2 linked regions of the Lytechinus pictus genome follow. The protein of the gene in region 1 interacts with the protein of each later gene in a biochemical or structural test. Links are inferred from orthologs where the notes say so. Each region holds a gene or a part of one and is shown in the gene's direction. Other genes may lie near its edges.

Region 1 (10,976 bases):
ATGTGCATATAACTTTTCCCAAAATACAGTAGTGCTAAACGTTGAAATTCAATAATTTTGTTATTTGTTATCCAATTTTGATGAAATTTTCAGCATTTTGCTCTGTGAATTTTACTCTATTTATTTAGATATAAGTATCTTCAGCTCGTAGTATCCCTTTAAGTATTTATTTATTAATTGTGTACATAAGCAAGTGTATTCTCTATTCTGCAATCATGCAATTTCTTATTTATTATTCAAACCCATAAACACAATATTTATTTATTTTTATTCATTTTTTTTGGGGGGGGGGGGTCTGTAATCAGCTTTTTTAAAGCTTTTAAATATCATATGATATAATTGGTGCTTTATTTTTAAAGCCATCTTTTGTTCACCCACATTTTAAAACCAGAATATTTGAGGGAAAAAAAGACACCCCAATAGCCAGAGATGTTTTCTTGTGGATTCAGTTTGTGTTGTGAAGTGATGGGTAATGAAATCAGTCTGGGTGACTTCTCCCAGGGAAGCGGCAGACAGCAAAACAGCCGAGAATAGAAACAGGTTTGTCTGTCTACTGACCAGCCGATCCAGGGTATCGTAGGCTTATAGACCCAAGGTAGACACGAGCTCTCCTCACCATATCACCAGACAAAGTGTAGGAGACAGGTCATTAGAAATTCACTTATTATTCACCCATTGGCTCCCACCTGACCTTAACAAATATGGGTTACTCTTTTTTTGTTTTTGGATAACAATCTGAAAGATGAATTGGAATTCACCCAGATGTCATAAAAGATTGTGATGATTATTTTATTAATGAGGGTGGGGGTGATACTAGTGATAATCATAACAACTATAATAGTTATATAATGAATGATTATAATGGTAAATATATAAATCAATTTCATTCCAAAGTTGACATGAAAATGATAACAAAAGTGATGTAGTAGGCAATGAATATACAATGAATTGATTGGGAGTTTAGAATATAAACAAATATTTATTATAGCCTATTGTGAATAATGAAGAAAGATGGCACTTGGCTGTACTGGAAAATTACCATACTGAGGAAATACAATATATGAAGAAATATCCAGGAATACTTGGAAATACCTGGGAAATACCTAAAAGTAATATATATATATATATATATATATATATTTGCTTCCTTTGTTTATTCATAATAAACACTTGGTCATTTTGCTTGATTGTGGTAAAATCAGTGACATGTATGACAACAGAAAATCTGTATTACGCTATTGTATGATACATATATTATAACCCTAATTCTGCCAAAACAGACCCATATCTTGTGAAAGATAGTTTCAGAAGAAAGGTTTGGTATACATGTACAACAGCACTTAAACCTAAAGCATATTTTGGCTGGACCCAATTCTTCGACCGATAACCAAACATGTGATATTATTAGCATCATGTGATCATATGTAGTACATGTGTGTAGAGCATGCAGTAAGGACATATTACCATTACCTTTAAAAACAGACAGGCCGTATACCAGTGTTGTAGACAATATGATAGAACTCTCATGATAATGCTTGTTGCAACTTGGCCTAGTTTCTGTTTGGGTGATGGCAAAGGGGGTAGAATACTTGAATGATATAATTGATAGTTTGGACTCCTCTAATCCCACCAAGCCTTTGAGCAAAGGCAGACAGAAATGATTGTGTGTAATGATTTATGATCGCTGGATCAACAATAAACAATGGTTTATACCTGTAGGGTAGGAGACTGGTAAAAGAACGAGCACGCAACGGAGGCTTCGCAGACTGGTACTATCAGCGCTTTCACACCATTCGTACAAACCACTGTATGAATTAATTGCGTAATGACTCGTTTTAGTAACTGGGCAATGCGACAAGCGCATGCACAGAATTAGGACATTGTATGACGAAATGCTATAGTTTGTGGCTAGACATGCACGCTTGAAATTCAACCAGTTTTCCAATAGGCTTACATACATATTGGTAAGAGTGAGCAAAGATTTAAGTCATTCAGTGACTACCAATGCTCGATAGAAAGTTAACGAGTATTACACATCTACAATGTAGAATAAAATCGTCTGAGATCTTCCTCATTGGAGTAAGGTCCAGGGCCCTGCTTTAAACAAAGTTACATTTACTGTGATGGTTTTTACCATGGAAACGGGACTTGGCATCCAATAAAAAAAATCAGTGTTTCCAATGGTAGATACCACTTATGGCAAAGTTACCATAACAAGAAAGTTTTCACCTTTTGCAACGAAAACCAGGTCCCATAAACCAGGAGGAAACGACCTAAATATTTCCATATTGCAACAGGAACTAGTCTTCTGGCCTGCTCAGAATAAGTGAAACTACTCCTGTGTCCCGTTTCATAAAGACAAGTTATATTAAATAACAAATGTACAACTTCCTTAACAAGTTTACTATCTGCCAATCAGATTGATCGATTTCGGTAGCTTGAAACTGTTATTGCAAATTTGTTATTTGTGTTACAAGTTTTATGAAACAGGGCCCTGTCCTTTACCTCCTACTACATGCACAAGCTAATGGCACATTCACATGATGAAACCACCCCAAACTGACAGATGACTTGCTATTAGGGATGCATGCAATGGCTTCGGTCAATGCGGAGTCGGTTTCACCGGTGTGACTGTGGCACTGCCCTATTCGATTCCGAGAATGACCATGGCCTTGTGAAACTTGTGGATGTCCTTGCCGTTTCAAATGAATTCATTGCCTGGATTACCAGGGCTTTCTACTAGGCATACATGTATCATAACTCTCTTGGTGAAGTAATCAGTGGGTGGACTTTTTAAGGCAATGAATATGGTCACAAGAGGTGGTTTCAAACCGCCTCAATCACAAGAATCCCCGTTAAATTACGAGAACTTTTTTAGGCTGAAAAATACCCATTAATTATTCCTGCATTCACACCGCCCTGAAACATACCCTTCAGGATAAGTTCCTGAAGTTACGAGCATGCGCAGTATGGTCTGATAAGCAGCAAGGCGCAAAATTCAAAATCACTAGCCCAGCAGCAACCCATGCACGGCGCCGCACCCAACGACATGCTGGGCTAAAAGTTCCCGTAATTTGCTTTCAGACCGCCAAAATACCCACGACCTTGGAAAAATCCCCGCGAAAGTTCTCGTAATTTCGCCAAGTACCTACTATTTATCGGGTATTTTCTTTCGGGGATATTACGCGTAGTTTGCTTTCACACCGCCAAAATACCTGGTATTTTCTGATCGGGGTAAATTTCCCGATCAGAGAATACCTGGAACTGGCGAACTTCGAGGCAGTCTGAAACCACCTAAGGCTTCACCAGTCAAAATTTTCAAATTACCCTGCTATTTCTGGCCCAGCAATTAATAAACAACATCAAGATTGTTTTTTAAATGAAGAAACTGGAAACCATATATTTCTTGGGCTTCATCTCTGTTTGCAATCAAGAGTTAACTACATGTAGCAGCAGGATGTTTCAGTAAATATTTAGGATGTTCAATACATTGCCATCTCAAGGAGTACAAAATGCCAATATCCACTGACTATATGTTCTGAACCAATCAGATGCAAGGATTTCAGTAGCTTATAGCAGTTGTAAGTGAACATGACTTTGTTTCATGAAACACTCCCCTGGTAGAATCCTTAAATTGAGCAAGCTCTGACTGATAAAGTACCATTATGACTCATTGGTCATCATCACATCACATCTATTTATTTTACCTAGATTTCTACTACTATTTTCAATATTTTACTTGCATATTTACTGTACATTACTCTAAACTTCTTGATATTCTATAAAGTACACTACTCTACTAGTGTGAAGGGAGTCCCTGTTCTCGACTAGTCTGCTATGCAGACTCTGAATGGCTCGTGAGGTGGGATCTCAGTGCGCGAAGCGCGCTGCTGCTGGTTTGCTTCGCAAACCAGCCTGAAAGGACGAGCAAAGTGAGCCATCTGCAGCCACAGTAGACCTAGTCTGCTATGCAGACTCCTTGAATCAGCTGTGGTACACACACTGCAGATGTGGGTCTACATTTGTAGACTAGTTCTCGACTAGAATGTCTTTATGCTCTTTCAACAAAGAGTCTAAATTGTCATTCACATCAATTGTTACATTTGATTTTGCCCAAATATTTGTATTACCGGTAATTGGATTCAAGCTCAAGTTTAGAGAACTGTGAAAATATGCATGGAATCTTGTTATTGAAGATTATTTACAAGGCTCGTCCAATATTTTTTTTGTTATGTACATGTATGTATATATGCTGTGTGTCTGATGTCATGAAAAATGTGCAATATTGCAATTTGCAAGAATTTGTATGAATACTAAAATAAAAGTAAGAAATTATGGCCATCAATTAATGATGATATTAATAATAATGAAGATTTGTAGATCGCATGCACCATCTAAAAATGATCATGATGCTAGCTCAGCAAAAGTTCTCTTGTATGTATGTAAACTAGGTCTATGAATATTAAATACATAGTATATTAATTTGTCTCAAATCCTAAAAATTACATTATGCAATAGTTACAACCATTTGCTTTTATATGTATGTGACCCAAACAATCGATGATTTTCATTGGTTATTGATATTAAATTGCTATGCAAATGTAAAGTCACTCAAATGTAGTCAAACTGAATTTGGCTTTGTATTTGGTTGTAATGCCAGGGCCCCCTCCAAAAAAAGAGTTGTGATTGATCCAATCAATCGTAACTTTATGGAAATCCACCAGTGTCATAATTTTTTCTACAGGAAATTTGCAAAATGTCCTTTTTAAACAAGGGAGAACACACCAAATTGTCAAGAAATCAATCAATTTACGAATATACATTCATTACTAGAATTTTTTTTGAACAAACATGCATTTTATATGTTGACTTTGCTGGCTTTCCATAGTTACGGTTGATCGGATCAATCACAACTCTTTGTAAGACGGGCCCCAGTACTCTTTATTGTTATTAATTCCATGGTGTGGTATTGTCATAAAATGATTTCGAAATGGATTGGCAGGTGAATGCTATAGAACACTATTATTTATTTGATTTATACATGAAGTCATGTATGGTACCTCCACATTTCATGGTTTTTTTTAAATTGTACATTAACAACAAATAGCTAGAAATTACGTTCATTGCTGGTATTGTTTAAATTCATGTAGGAAATTTATGGTTAAGAAAAAAAGTTCATGCTCTAGTCTTAGAATTCAGTTAACAGCACACCCTCTCCCCATCTCTCTCACTTTCAATCGTGATTTTTGTCTCGCCTGTATAGCAGAGTGAGACTATAGGCGCCGCTTTTCCGATGGCGGTGGCGGCGTTGGTCAACATTGGAATCTTAACCATGTCATCGTAACTTAGAAAGTATATGGACCTAGTTATTGAAACTTGGACATAAGGGTAATCAAGTATCCCTAAAGGTCCTGTGCAGGTTTCAGGTCACATGGCCAAGGTTAAAGGTCAATTAGGGTCAACAAACTTTGGTTATATTTGGGGTATTTGTGGAATTGTCATTGTAACTTTAAAAGTTTATGGATCTAGTTCATGAAACTTTGAAATAAGAGCAACCATGTATCCCAGAGTATCCTGTGCACGTTTCAGGTCACAAGGCCATTTTGGGTCAATGGACATAATGTTTTATTATCATATGAATGTTTTTTTTTTGAATAATTATTCAATAGCTGTTTTTAAAGTCAGCACTGCTGCTATATCAAAACGTGTAATGCAGGCGAGACTGCCAGAGGCGTTCCACTAGTTAAATCTACTTAATTTGTTTCAAATTATTGCAATTTGATTACCCCCACATAGAATATTTGTTAAATAGTATTTAAGTCTTCATTTCTCTCATTTCAGTATTATGCTTCGTTAATTTTTTGTTATTAGTGTACTTAACGAATTGATGTTTGACGTGTTTTACTTTGTGATAAAGGGACTGTTTAGCACTTTTCATAACTGAAAGGGTGACCACGGTAAAAAAAATAAAATAATAAATAAAATAATCTCTCTTCCGCTGTCTCCTCCCACCCTCTGTACAGGTGCAGCAGCAGGTCCACTCCACTCTGCAGGCCGATGAGGACTCCCTGGAATACATCGAAAGCCTCATCATCTGCCTCCTCAACATGCTGTGCAGCGTCCAGCCCCACAACGTCCACGACATCGAGGACAGGGTCCAGAAGACCTTCCCTCGCCCCATCGACCAGTGGGCCATCAACGACGCCCGGCTGGCTCTGGAGAAGGGGCGCAAGAAGGCACCCCTTGTCCTCCCGGTGGATAAGATCCACCAGCTCTTGAAGGTGAGTTTGGGTTTTCGTGCAGATATACCCAAAGGAGCATTTCATGAAACAAAGAGTTAGTGATTTTCACTTAAATTGTTAAAAGCTACTGAAATCCTTGCATCTGATTGGCTTCGAACAAATTAGTCAGTGAAAATTCTTGACTATTTGCTTCAGGAAACACTACCGAGGAGTGATTGAATTGTTAGGGATATTCCTTGAAATCAAATATGTATAATGATGATTAACAAAAATACATTTTCAATTGTCTTCCATTTTTCTTTCACTTTGAATCCCTTCCATTGAAATTGTTGTAGCTATGTCATAGAAGATAGCACTAGTTTGAAAAATATATACATTAATATATTCATGTATATATTTGGGGTGGGTCAATTTCTTCAGAAAGTATTTTTGTGCACCTGTTCTTACTCCAGTGTGGTAAGAAGTATTAATGCTGATTCTGAAGATTACTGTACGTCCGTCCGTCCGTATGAGGTCTGCCTACTATAATTCAAGTAGCAAGCAGACTTTATCACTTTTAATTTGAGGGAAGTCTCTCTTAGTATCATGCTGCCTGTGATAAATCAGACAATAGGAGAAACAGAATGTGAGCATAATTCGATAAAAGATTAGGAAGTTATTAATTTTATTTGTAGGTAATCAAAAATTATCAAACCAAATTTGCTAGTCAGGGGCTTCCTTTGTGGGGAGCTCTCATGTTATGTTGCATCACTGATCTGAATTCAATTGTCTTCATTTTGGTTGCTGATAACAGGGTTCGCTCTTTTTTTTTGGTAAAGAATTTCGCACAAATACTTCTTGCAGATATACCTCATGTATTAATTTTTTGTAATTGTTTTAATTTTTCAGTAAATTGCTCATAAATTAGAAATGTATCAGTGAATGTTTAGCTGCCCCACAAAAATAATTCATACAAGTATGTATTTGAAAGTAAAGATTTATTCACCATATACTGTAGACTAGTTTAGTTCACTCCAACGATGTTGTAGGACTAAGCCCGTTCAACGATCGAAGTAGGATGTCTATTGCTGCTCTCCTTCAGACAAAATTAGATGCACTACTTGTGTTGGCAGGGGGGGGGGGTGGCAGGGGTATTGTAGACAGCAAAAAATTCCATGAAAAACACACAACAATGACTCAAAATCATAGGCAATCTTCTCCCAATGCTTATCCAGTCTATTAAATGCAATCACTGAACAAGCAGTAACTACATCTTCTGGGAGACTGTTCCACTCATCTATCACTTGGTTAGAAAAGAAAAACCAGCTTTAAGGAATGACCATGTGATTTACCACCATTTCTCAGACAGAAAAATCTCAGAACTTGTATCATAGTAACCATGCTGATATTTGTACATTTCTATTTAATAAGTTATTCTATTTCCTAAAGATTGCTGAGGTGTGAGGGCCTGCTTATGGAGCATTTTTAATTGTCAACTGAACAACTTGAGAATGGATTGTCCATTTGCTTATTAATTTTCAGTTATATTTTACCTGTTTGTTTCAACCTCCACCCCAAAACCAATATTCAACTTTTTTAATAGAGATATTAAAAAAAAAGCATAAACCCTTGTCTAGACAGTAGTCAAACATGTAGAATGATTAAGAATAATATTAATAAAAATATTTAGAGTTAAGTAATCTTTCATATTTGCAGAAGAGATTATTAATAAAGAGAAGTACATTTGCATGTATTTGCACTTGCGAGGACAGACACATCGTTTGTATTGAGAAAATATCCTGCAATAATTGCATGCTACGCTCCAGGTATTTTGCAAAGCTAAAAATTCACTGCTTGTTTTGGAATGTCTGAATTTCCTGGAAACATTTTTTCTTAACCTTGGTTATTAATTGGGGAGGTTTGTGTTTGTATATTGTAATGACTAAAAAGGAATGAAATTACTCTATGAAATAAAGAGTAAATTATAAAGATTATCAATATGAAATTGATATTTTTCAGTAAATGTATATTTTCAGAAAATATTAATGTGGATTCAGTATGTCATATTGTTGGCTCCATGTAATGATATAATGGGGTAGCATGATAATTTTTCAGAAATATAAGGAAAGGACAAATCTTCCTACATGTTCAAGACATCGTCTTTCTCTTTAAAAAACTTGATGAATCATCACATTGCTTCACTTCTTCCTTTCTTACTCTCCTAAACCCCACATTATGTGCTCACTGTTAATAAGATGAACATTTGTGGTAAAATTCCTTTATAATTAAAGTCCATGTGGGGTTGTGGCATGGGTCTAAGTATTATAACTGACTTATTTTTGTACCCCCAGATTAAAGTATATGCACAATTTTGCACATATCATTTCCCCCACCGTGATAAGAATAAATGATCGAGCATGAATTTTTTTTTAATGGGTCAAAGTTCTGCACTAATAACAAATTCATTTTTATTCTGAAAGAAGAAAATTGTTAAATGTACTTTGCTCTGCATCTCGATAGGAACATTACCTACTTGATTGTAATTATGCTGGGAACATTCATGAAAAGTTTTTTCTGTGATTTTTGTCGATTACTTTGCTTTCAGCCAATCAGATAGAAAGGTTTATAGTAGCTTATAACAATAGTTAGTAAAAATCACTATTTGTTTCATGAAATGCCCCCAGGGGGTGTTTCACAAAGATTTAAGTATGACTTAGAGTCGCACTTAAATGCCTAGTTGCGGCATTTGAAAAGGCATGACCGCATTGGTCAGATCATGCGAAGAGGACGTGCACTACTGCATATTGATCAATTACATTGCGCGTTGCATTTCAGATACGCGTTAGCGATTTAAGTCATACTTAAATCTTTGTCTTTGTGAAACACCCCCCAGGTCTTTAAGAAAGCTTTTCTAATCTAAGCTTAGAACAGTTAGAAGGGTGTTTGAAATAGATTAACTAGATAAATTGATCTCTCTAACCTTTGTAATACATATTTTGTTATGAATTCTGTTGTAGCATTATCTACAATGTTACATAATCTGTATCAATAGCACAAAAATGAGCAGAATGTTTTGCTGACCAGAATGTAGAATACGTAATTAGAGAAATTCCAGGGCAGCTACTAGATTGGAGAGAAATGTAGGGGTTTTCCCTTTCTTACCAAATGTTTGAATTGTACTCTCGCCTTCTTGGAGAACAGTGTTGTGGCTGACAGTGTAACTACCTTTTTTCCATATCAGAGCGTTTGTGAAATCAATTTGAATTAATTTCTGTTCTTCATTTCCTTGAGAGTATTAAATACCTTAGTCCATTCAAGAGATATGAAAGATGGAGTTGCATTTAAAGAACGTTTTGGTTTTGTTGATGATTAATTTTGTTCATAAAACACAATTTTGTTTTTGCACATTTTCATTTCATCAGGATTGAAAATGATACCCAACCAAATCAAAAAGCTGCTCTTTGAGTTATTTCTGCTAGAATTACCATTATCATACAAAGTAGTATATATAATTTTGTATTTTTTGATTTTACAAATTGATTGTGATTTTTTCATCTATACATTTCATGGCCCAAAGTTTGCTTAGAAATTGAATATCATGGCAATGGTTCCAATGAAATATGTTTGACTCTTGTTTTTCATGTATATATTTAGGTCAAAGCTAATTTTCCTCTTTGAATAGGGTAAGAATATTGGCAATAAATTTGTAATTCCTCTTTGCAGACATTAACTGATGGCAATTAATGTTCATGATTCTGGGATTAAACTTTGTATTTATGCCGCCATTGGCAGTTTGTAATTTTATTATTTTGATCATTATTTTCCTGCTCTCATAATATAACAAACCAATAGTCAGAGTGAAGCCCCTTGTAGAACTTTTCTATAAAACCTTAAACCACCTGTACCCACTAAAACTCACTTCATTCACAACTGATACACCACTGAGGCGAGATCTAGCACAAGCAAGCAGTTTGATATTCTGCTGTCTCTCGACCAGCGAGCCTGCCATACTACAAGTGCGTCCCCTCCTGCCCTTTCGCATGAAATTTGAGTGTCGTTTTCTTTGTTTAGGGATTTTACTATGGTTTCTGGGAAAGAAACTGAAACTAGCCCCTGGCTCCGGGCAGCATCCCTGGGAGTGAATCTCACTCCAATCAATCTATTGCCGTCGCGGCTTCATCATCCCATACATACATACATGCTACACATTTACATGTAGTATGCAAGATATTGGATGTGTGCCAGTAGTAATGAGAAGAAGAAGATTGCTCATCACATATCATCCAGTCTGCCTCTATCTCGTTCTTTCTCTGTATCTCCTCTGCCCTCCATCTCTCTCTCTCTCTCTCTCCTACGTCAGAAGTAACATGGAGACTGCTCATCACATACATGTATCATCCAGTCTCCCTCTGTCTTTCTTTCTATGTATCTCCTCTGCCCTCCATTTATCTATCTCTCTCTCCTATGTCAGAAGTAACATGGAGACTGCTCATCACATATCATCCAGTCTCCCTGTCTTTCTTTCTCTGTATCTCCTCTGCCCTCCATCTCTCTCTCTCTCTCCTACATCAGAAGTAACGTGGAGACTGCTCATCACATATTATCCAGTCTCCCTCTTTCTTTCTTTCTCTGTATCTCCTCTGCCCTCCATCTGTCTCTCCCTCTCTCTCTCCTACGTCAGAAGTAATGTGGAGACTGCTCATCACATATCCAGTCTGCTTCTATCTCCCTCTGTCTTTCTCTCTCTGTATCTCC
Region 2 (11,106 bases), on another chromosome or scaffold:
CAATAGCGAGCCGTCTGTGTACGAGGAGAAATTAAAAAAATAATAAAAATGTTTAAAAAACTCCTCGAAACAGACGGCTGCCAGCTGTCTAAAGCGAATGCAACTCCAAAATTCCAACCAGTTGTGAGTTTTCGGCCAAAAATTCGGGTTTTCTCTGGAGACTCCGCATTTAGACTTTACTGCAGCTGCAGCCTAGTCTGTAGAATAACAAAATTGGTGCGTAGCTTAAAGTTTAAGTTTAGGACCCCCTACCATATGATAAAGATTTGGATCCTATGGCATGCTGTTGCCTTAATAGTCTTGAGGACGCAATGATGATGACTTTTAAAATAATGAAATATACTTCTTCATCATTGACGTCTTGACACTCTTCCCATAGTCGCAGAAGAGAAGGACCAAAACAAAGATGGATTTCCGAGGGAAATCCATCTTTTGAAACGAAAATCACTTGAATTTTATGAATTTCATTGATTTTTACACCTTCCTACGCCTAATGCGTAGGAAGGTTTTAAAAATTATAATATAAAAATGCGAAAAAATTAAGGTTTCTTACCTAACTGATGCAGAGTAGACCCCTCGATCCACATGTAAACAACGTAAGTACAATAGCGTCGACCCTTGAACCGCTTATGTATGGCGTACTTCCGGCTAGCAATACCGTTTTGACGAACAATTTATAGATAAAAATGATTATTTCACAAATACTAAAATTTATTACTTGATTATAAATAATTATTAGTATTATACTAATTATCTATAATTACATGATAAATTTTAACATTTGCGAACGGCATCGCTAGCCGGAAGTACGTCATACATCAGTAGATGCGCACGGCCAATATTGGAGACTGTCTCCAATGTGGGAGATTATCTCCAATATCAGAGACTTTTGTAAAGAATTTGGGTATCCAATTTCAGAGACAGTCTCCAGTTTTGGAGTCCAATTTCCTTTGTTTACATTTGCTGCAAAAGGATTAACTTGGCGGCAAATCCTCATGAAAAATTACCCCTTTTCACCGTCTACTTTAAAAATTCACCGTCTACTTTTGTTTTGATAAGGATTTTTGTCAATCACACAATACAAATGTGCTTCTGACCTCAGTGAGACAAAATTTTGGGTGGAAAAAATCTTGCTTTTGTTGGTGTTGTTTCTTTTGTCCTTTTGCAAAGCAAGTCTCCAATGTGGGAGATTGTCTCCCCTATTGGAGAGAGTCTCCCATATTGGCCGTGCGCCATAAGCGGTTCAAGGGTCGACACTATTGTACTTACGTTGTTTACATGTGGATCGAGGGGTCTACTCGGCATCAGTTAGGTAAGAAACCTTAATTTTTTCACATTTTTATATTATAATATTTAAAACCTTCCTATGGCTACACATTAGGCGTAGGAAGGTGTAAAAATCAATGAAATTCATAAAATTCAAGTGATTTTTGTTTCAAAAGATGGATTTCCGAGGGAAATCCATCTTTGTTTTTTGGTCCTTCTCTTCTGCGACTATGGGAAGAGTGTCAAGACGTCAATGATGAAGAAGTATGGTAGGGGGTCCTAAAGGAGTAAAGCTGCGCGGGTCCTAAAGCTACGCACCACTCATCACGCATACAGTTTTTATGGCAAATGCGCACTCTGTGTGTGGAACTGTGACTGCAGAGTGACGAACGATTCCTATTCAATTTTTTTCTACAGAGGCTGCAGTAAATCTCTAAATGCAGAGAAACCAACAACTGTTTGGAATTTTGGAGTTATATTCGCTTAAATATCATTTTAACCTATAATAATAGGACCCCTTCTACATCGGGTGGCGAAATCAAGAGGTGTTCGGAAAACACGGCGGGATTTTCGTATTAGTGACTGTGAGTTTTGCGATATTTTCTTCTTGGACTTGGACTTGGTTAATGATCTAGAAATTATGTTTGCCACAAATTAGTGAAAGATATTTGTTGAAATATTAAAATTGGGATAGTTTTTATTGTTTGAAAACAAAGTGCGTAGCTTAAGTTTAGGTCCCTCCATCATATATTTCATTATTCTAAAAGTCATCATCATTGGTACGTCCTCAACTCGACTACATTGCCTCATGCGCATGAATTAAACGAGGCGAGCAGCTGGCGTAGCGGCGGCGGCTGGCGCTGGCGCAGCTGCGCAGCCAGGGCCGAGGGATGCCGAGTTCGAGAAGTTGACGGAGAATCAAACTTACCGTCTCATAATCGCTGTTTTCTTCTTCACTTTCGCTGCCACTGGCGCTGCTACTAGCACTACTCCCCATGTTGTCCCCAACAGGGTGCTTTAGAGAGAAGGCTACTAACTATACTGCAGATACTTTCTTTAAATCACCTCAATACAACATCCTCCAAAAATTCTGCATTCAGATTATATTATGACAAGGGCGCAGACATTTTGAATGACGTAATATTGTTCAGCTCGCGCTAGATCGTAGCGCGCGCAATCCAGCTTGAGTCCGGAGTGCGCTAGGCGGATCCAGGAGGGCGAGGGGCCGCCGCCACCGCCCCCCCCCCCCCCCCCCCCACTGATCTAGAGCTCAACTAACAGTTGGGCCGCCCCATGGGCCGCCCCCCGGGGGGCCTATTAACGGCGCAACAAAAAAATAAAAGAGGGGGGGGGAGAAACAGATATTGAAGGGTCATTAAGGAGAGGAGAATTGAAGGAAGAAGAAAAATATAAGAGGAGGAAGACGAGTACATAATATAGGTGAGGGCGGCCGGGCCGCGGGATCGAAGACTTGGAAAAAAAATTAATGTCAGTATGAAAAAAAGCGCTTCGTGCTCGCATTGCCAGTCATTTACTGATGAGATACATATAGGCGATCATAGGCTGAAATGGTGCTTAATAGCACCATTTCACGGTCATGCAAATAGGCCTGTTATAGATTGAGATAATCCTTTTCATGAAAATTCACGAGTTCTTAATTATGGAAGTTTAAAGTGCCATCCAGATAATCATCTCATCATGTCTACATCAAGAGGCGTCAATCCGGGAGTGGGGGGGGGGGGGGGCAGCGGGGTGATCGCCCCACCAGGGGGGGGCAAACATATTGTTTTGCCCCCCCCCCCATAATTCCAGATGTGCAAAAATAAAATCACATTGTAATGTTACATAGAAATCGGCAAGTGAGTTTGAAATACAAAAACTCGTTCTTTATATAAAATCGTGCTCAAATTGAATGTCCGCTTTTCAGATTGGAATATAAAAATATTCAGCTCGCGCTTCGCTCTCGCATGATTAAATAGGTGAATAATGTGCCGTTTTCACTTCTATATTAAACCCCAAAAGATCTTTTGTTGGATATATTAATTGTTCTTTATTAAAAACGTCCATTGAACTGTCAATTTTTTCAGATCGAAATATCAAAATTTTCAGCTTGCGCACTTCGCGCTCTTATCTATTGTTCTTTTAGATACCCATCTTAATCTATATTTAGAATATCGAGCTTTCAGCTCCGAATATAACAAAATTCTATCTCTCTCTCGGCACTCGCATTGATCTGTGTAGTGAGATATGTATCCTCCCCGAGTTATACTACAAACAGTCCTAAACAGGTACCTTTTCCTGTTTTTAGGTCAGTATACTAAAAAAATTCAGCCCGCATTCGCGCTCGCATTAATTTGTTGTTGAGATATGTACGTGTCTCTTTCTCATCATGAGACATATACTATATATATATATATATATATATAGGGCCTACAGTGCGTATTAAAAAAACGGGACAGATTTGAAAGGTCTATAAAATTTTTGTTATGATGTCTATATTTTGGTGTTAATAGGTGCTCTGGGGTGGTATTCTGAGATCCATTTTATCTCAGATAAAATAAAATATTTTATCTCCGTTAAAATCAGTGAGATAAAATACCCTTAAAATCTCTCCGAATTGGTATTCTGAGAGCAATTTTATCTTCATTTTATCTATGTAAGACACACCTACTTTTTAATCAATATCCAACTAGAAACGCGCTTTAGCTCTCTCGTGTCACTCTTAAACCAATTGAAATCCATTCCGCCAGGAGGTGTGGCAAAGGGGTGAGATTGCGTTAATTTATCGACTTCAAATACGCTTGCACTATACGCTTGCTCGTCTTTACAGATATTTCTTTTTAACAAAAAGGACAATACTCTCATTTTTTTTCGAAGTCTATATCACATCTTTTCAAGCAACATATCAAAGACAATATTAGTCAAGACAAGTCTTATGAAATACTTCTGATTGTACAGGAATAACGTTAAGGTGTTATTCTCAATAAATATATAATTTTTCTTCATTTTTATGTCAACATTTTAGAAATATTGGTGAAATCAACGTCGCGGAGATAAAATAGCCCCTACCCTCTTTTAAGTTTATTTTATTTTTTTCTTCAAAGTAACTTGGGCGCAAGCACATCATCCGCGTTGCAATACCCAGATACGCGATCGGTATCGTCTACGCAGGCACTGTTCTGATGCGTATCATCTATAGTTACGCAAGATAAATTTTTTATGCAAGATAAAATTGTAAATTTTATCTGAGAGATAAAATGTCATCTCAGAATACCAATTTCGTTTTAAGAGATAAAATAAAATATTTTAAAGATAAAATGACCTCAGAATACCGCCCCTGAAGTCTTATCTTTCAAATGCCATTAAAAAAAATTTAGTTTTGTTCATGCTTTAGCAAACACGGAATGTTTTTGTCTGGGGCTAAAAAAGGAGGCTTGCGCCAAAATGGCATAAAATGATAATGATGATCGGACTTCTCGCTAATCAGCAGATTATCTTTGCCATAATTTTCGAATTATGCCGTCAAAATTCATTTTCAAATCTGTTTATTTGCTTGAATTTGTCTGTTGTTTCTTTTTAATATGTTCTCTTCTAGCTTTAAATTTTCCTTCTTTAAGCAAAAAAAAAAAAATCAACCGAAGTATGGGAGAGTGTGTATTTTTTCAAATCCTTTCATTGTGTGCTACAAAGGTTATGGTGATTTTGAACAGTGGCATACAGATGGGCGGGGGCTCGGGGCGTCCCCCCCCCCCCCCAATAAAAAAAAGTGGAAAGGAAATAAAAGGAAAGATAGAAAGTGAAATATGATTTCTTTCCTGAATATTATGTCAAAATATATCACAAAATTTGATATTTTATTTAAAAAGTGGAAATTTTTGCCTGCTCGCTCACTACTTTTTTAAATACATTTCATCCGATCAGGGGCCCGTTGCAGAAAGAGTTGCAATCAATTGCAACTCGAAAAATCATGCGTAACTTGATTTTCAACCAATCATCAGCGCACATTTGGGACTTGCGATTGATTTTTTGACTTGCGTTTAAACGCAACTCTTTCTGCAACGGACCCCTGCCATTATAGATATCTATAGCTCCTTCAAAATTGACTAAATACACCATTGCCATTGAAAGACGTGAATCCTTTCCTGTTTGTCGGCGTGAATCCTTTCCCGTTTGTCGGCCTGTCAAGCGCATAATTAAACTTGGTCTAAAAAATCCCTTGAAAATAGGATTCATGTTATTTAAAGGTACCATAACATAATTTGTTTCTCATAATAAAATACGATTTGAATAATTACAAGTTCTCCCAATTATAATGCAATCTTCATGCTTGGATTGACAAAAAGTCTTCTTTTCTTACTTATGAAGGAAATTCAAATGTTAAAGAAGTTTCAATGAAAAAAAACCAAAATAATTCAAGTAAATAAGTAAATTTGTAAATGAAATTTGACAGCATATTCGAAAATCATGGCAAAGATAATGAAAAGGTTAAGAGGAAGTCTGATAATTAGCAAGAAGTCTATCATGCAAATTTCTCATTTCTGCCATTTTGGCGCAAGCCTCTCTTTGAACCCCCGACTAAAACGTCCCGTGTTCGCTAAAGCATGACATTTTTTTTTTTTTGGGGGGGGGGCATATTTCAAAGATTGGATTTCAGAGCATCTATTAACATCAAAATATAGATATCATAATTTGAAACAAATTTTTTTATAGACTTTTCAAAACTGTCCCGTTTTTTTTATACGCACTGTATATATAATTATATATATATCATATATTTACATATATACAAATATATGATATATATATATATATACATATATATATATGTATATATGTATATATGTATATATATATATATATATATATATATATATAATATATATATAATATATATATATATATATATATATATATATTTATATATATAAAGAAGACTTATAATATATATATATATATATACCTGAAAAGTGACATCACTCTTCTTCTTCTTCTTCCTCCTCCTCCTACGCTATTTGTTTGTTTCTTCTATTTTCTTTGTTCGTGTTTTTTCCTGGTATGTTTTGTTTCGGTTTCTTATTATGCTACGTACTTTCTGGGTCCTTTTTGAGGACGGAAAGTTCTCGGTAATTTTCGCTTTTATAAATTTTGAGTTCACGGGTACAGGTACGAGGTAGTGCGCGCTGATCGGGCCGCCACGCGCGCAACATGCACACGATTTTAACTTCCGCAAATTACGTAGGTGATCAACACGGTACGGGATCGGGAAACACCGAGAAGTTTCGCAACAAAGTTACAAAAAAACGACTCAGAAACAATAAGGCATGATAAAGTTTCTTCAAGTGGGACCTGTATAGATTCTTCACATTTTGGAAAACAGCAATCGAAGGACTAATGTTACGTTGACGTTCGTTTTGAAGACGTTGAGAGTAGGAATCGCACACTGCCTAGGCGTGTGTACAAACTCATGAACTTATTCTTGTGGTTCTTGTGTTGTGTGGAGTCTCACTCAGCGCATAGAGAAGAGTGTGTAGATTTAGTGCGTGTGCAGCATTGCCATTGGCAGACAAGACAGGCTGCTGTCAGTGTCAGACTGTTGTGAGAGTTTTTTTGTTGTTGGCAGATTAACCTGCAATAAATAGGATCAGTCTGTACGGTATAACATGAACATTCATTGAGCAGGATTTATTGGAAAGTATGGAGTACGTGGCACAATTTGACTTTACGCCATCAAAGGATGATCAGGATGAACTTGGCTTCAAGAAAGGCGAAGTATTGAAGGTAGACCTAACATTGCAAGTTAGATCAGGATTCAGGGCAGCGGTAATCCTAAAGTAATGTGGTTTCACACCGGCTGACTTCGAGCAAATTTCCCCACCAGAAATTGATTGGCCTTGTAATACAATGGTTAGCAATTAATCGCTAAATGAAATGGCCTATCACGATCAGTGTTGCACGTGAATTTTGTTCAGTTGGCTGACAAGGAACCATTCAGAATTGTTCTTTCATATTAGCAATTAATCGCTAAGATTTGTGTTACGGGGCCCTGGATCGGAATTGACCTGTTTCTAAGGCTGTTTCAATCTATTTGGCATTGAAGAAGTGCATTATACAGTGTGAAAGGAAGTCCAGTGGATAGATGTAGACAAGTTAGACTGAGTGATATATCCGCTGTTTCTGAGGATTTTTTAAAAACATTTCAGATTTTTTTCCTACTACTAAGTACTAGGGCTACACAGACGGATGTCGGCCATAGGGCTCATAATGTATGTTCGACCGATGCTAACTACAGTATCTATGGAAAAAAGGGTTCGCTTCCGCATCCTCTTCGATTACTCCTTGGCCTGGGCTGGTTGTCAATGTCTTTAATATTTAACAACACTTTCTATGCCACTACATGTATTTCTAGGTGTGATACGGGATGTGTTTCAAAATATGTTTCAAGAAGAGGAAAGATGGGTCTTGTGTCCTTTTAGCTGCTACCAGGAGTAATTTTCCTGTTATTTCATAGCAATTTTCTCCACATTTTTTTTTCTACACAAAAGGTGTTTAGCAGATACAGTACAGAACATAGTTGGTGTCTTTTCTCTTATGACCAAAAATACTAAGAGAAAAGTCTGTAACTAATTTATTTACAGTGATGTAAAAATCTGCAGTCTTTAGATAAAGGTCAAGTCCACTCCAGAAAAATGTCAATTTTGATAAAAAGAGAAAAATCAAACTAGCATAATGCTGAAATTTCCATCAAATCGGATGTAAAATGACAAAGTTATGACATTTTATAATTTTGTTTACATGTATTTTTCACAAAACAGTAGGCCTACAACTCGGTGTCATGCAAATTAGACAATCGATGATGTCCCTCACTATTTCTTTTGGTATTTATTTCTTGAATTATACATTATTTCATTTTTGTATCACCTGCATAGCATAGTGAGACTACAGGCAACGCTTTTCTGAGGGCGGCGGTGACGTCAACACCAAATCTTAACCGAAGATTAAATTTTTGAAAGGACAGCATAAGTTAGAAAATATATGGACCTAGTTCATGAAACTTGGACATAAAGTTAATCAAGTATTACTGAACATCCTGCCTGAGTTTCAAGTCACATGACCAAGGGCAAAGGTCATTTAGGGTCAATGAACTTTGGCCAAGTTGGGGTATCTGTTGAATTACCATCATAACTTTGAATGTTTATGGATCTGATTTCTGATTCATGAAACTTGGACATTAGAGTAATCAAATATCACTGAGCATCCTGTGCGAGTTTCAGGTCACATGATTAAGGTCAAATGTCATTTAAAGCTAAATGAACGTAGTTGCAGTCAAACACTGATTTTGTGAGAAAGTCTGTAAAACCAAGGTAAAGTATTGATATATCATCGTGGATCTAGATCTGGTACAGTTACATAAACTGAATTTTGTGAAATCATAATATCTAGCTAAAAAACTATCACACTGAAGATCGCCAACACAGATAGGCACACGTGGGACAGTGTATTATTATTGCTGGAATAAAGACCCGACGGAAGTGACCGAATCCGCACTTATTTTGCTTATTTCTCAGCAATTACACAATTTCTTCAAGAATCCTTTGGCACATATTTTTTATTCATACAAACAGACACTTTGGTGATCATTGTATTAAATTCTGTAAAAAGTCATTTTGAGATCATTCCCAAAACTGGAATTTACCTTTAAGGTCAATGAACTTTGGCCAAGTTGGGGGTATTTGTTGAATTACCATCATAACTTTGAAAGTTTATTGGTCTAGTTCTTAAAACCTGGACATAAGAGTAATCAAGTATCACTAAACATCCTGTGCGAATTTCAGGTCACATGACCAAGGTCGAAGGTCAATGAACTTCGGCCATGTTGGGGGTATTTGTTGAATTACCATCATAAACTCTGTAAGTGTATGGATCTAGTTCATAAAACATAAGAGTAATCAAGTATCACTGAGCATCTCCTTTGAGTTTCAGGTCACATGACCAAATTCAAAGGTCATTGAACTTTGGCCATTTTGGAGGTAATTATTAGATTCCTGTTATAACTTTCAGTTTATAGATATACATGTAGTTTATAAATATGGATATCAAGTATCACTGACAAGTCGTAGGTCGCACGATCAAGGTCAAATGTCATTTATTGTAAATGAATGTAGTATTGTATCATATGAATGGTGTTTTTTGTGAATAATAGTAGTTTTCGAAGTCAGCACTGCTGCTATATTGAATCATGTGATGCAGGTGAGACTGCCAGAGATGCTCCACTTGTTTACAGATTTGACAATTATGACCAACTTGACTGAACCAAACATGTATAGCATTACAATTAGAAAATATATTTAATATATAATAAAATACAAAATAAATAAGGTAGTGAGTGGATGACGTCATCACTATCATTTGCATACTGACCAGGATGTATATATGGTAACTGTATTGTGAAATTAAGTGAAACTTCCAAATATCTTAACTCTCATATTTTACATCCGATTTTGATGAAACTTTCAGTGTTATGCTTGTTGGATTTTTCACTTTTTATTCAAATTAACTTTTTGTTGGGGTGGACTTATCCTTAAAAAAAATGTGGAGCAAATTGCACTGCAATTACAGGAAAAGTAATCAAATTTGATAAGTAAAATATTTCCCTATAGGCCTACTACAAAAATAATTTATCTTGAATGTTTTTCTTTTTTCAGGTAACAAAGAGAGAAGACAGGCATTGGTTGTTTGCTCACATTGGACCAAAGAAAGGATTAGTGCCAGAAAATTATCTTAAACCTGAAGAACACAAGTAAGTCATGTGTTTATTTGTTTATGAAGCTTGAACATGTCCAATGGATCTGTCATGTGACATCAGCTTGCAGTTACAGGACTTAATATCAACATGGATGGGCGCACTATGTATGCATTTTAGACAAATTGTCTAAAAGGAGACCTCCCCCCGAAAACAGTGCTTTAAACAGCTTATAAGTATTAAATGTGTGTATATTTGTTTGATATGACAGTAATATTGAAATGTTGTGACATTAGAAATTGCATTTGAAATTGATGTCATCAATATTTTGGTCTACAAGATATATGTCTTAAGCATTTATAAGGTAAAATCCAGACATCCCCATCCAATTCATAGTAGGGTCATAAAAATATCAATTGTAACTTGGAGCCGCCACCCCCCCCCCCCTATCCATTGCAGCTTTTTATTTGAAGTCTTGTACTACCTGTATAGTATTAGTTAGTATGTGAACGTTATGGACATATATGGGAATATTTATTGGGGAAGATGTTAGTATGTCATGACTTGACAGTTAGTGAAAGTCAAGTATCTATATCAGATCTACACATGTACATACATGTATTTCCAATAAACCCGCATAGGTCTGTACATATCTCCAAAAAGCACTCGTACATGTACGTACATCGTCATACATGTAGTTCTGTCCTTTGTCTACATACATACCTACATGTATCTCCACAAAACCCAGAGGTCTTTCATCTTTGTTCTCATACCATTGATATTCTTTCTCTTTCTTTGTTGCCTTTCTTTGGCTAAAACAGATGGTATAATGGTGGACTCACGAGAAAAATGGCAGAGGAGAAACTTATGGACTTGGAAGATGGTGCCTTTTTGGTGAGAGATTCAGAAAGCACTCCTGGTAAAGGAAACTTCTCCCTCTCTGTCAAGTAAGTTTATTTTGTGCTCAATATACATTTTTGTCTGACCTGCATAGCAGAGTAAGACTATAGGCGCCGCTTTTCCGACGGCGGTGGCGTCAACATCAAATCTTAACCGAAGGTTAACACATGACCAAGGTCAAAGGTCATTTAGGGTCAATG

Evidence for each region. The genes of interacting proteins can lie anywhere in the genome.
Region 2: the proteins of son of sevenless homolog 2-like (region 1) and growth factor receptor-bound protein 2-like interact in a test that uses a peptide from one of them, tested with the Drosophila melanogaster proteins (2 studies listed by BioGRID, with this or other methods). The link is inferred for Lytechinus pictus from reciprocal best matches to the Drosophila melanogaster genes Sos and drk.

Annotation. Positions count from the first base shown.
Region 1 is NC_087251.1:44,328,358-44,339,333, reverse strand, and holds the start of son of sevenless homolog 2-like, read left to right. Parts: upstream 1-6,027; 5' UTR 6,028-6,107; coding exon 6,108-6,281; intron 6,282-10,976. UniProt on the Drosophila melanogaster protein: Promotes the exchange of Ras-bound GDP by GTP. Functions in signaling pathways initiated by the sevenless and epidermal growth factor receptor tyrosine kinases; implies a role for the ras pathway in neuronal development.
Region 2 is NC_087254.1:17,165,003-17,176,108, forward strand, and holds the start of growth factor receptor-bound protein 2-like, read left to right. Parts: upstream 1-6,479; 5' UTR 6,480-6,960; coding exon 6,961-7,044; intron 7,045-9,968; coding exon 9,969-10,063; intron 10,064-10,827; coding exon 10,828-10,953; intron 10,954-11,106.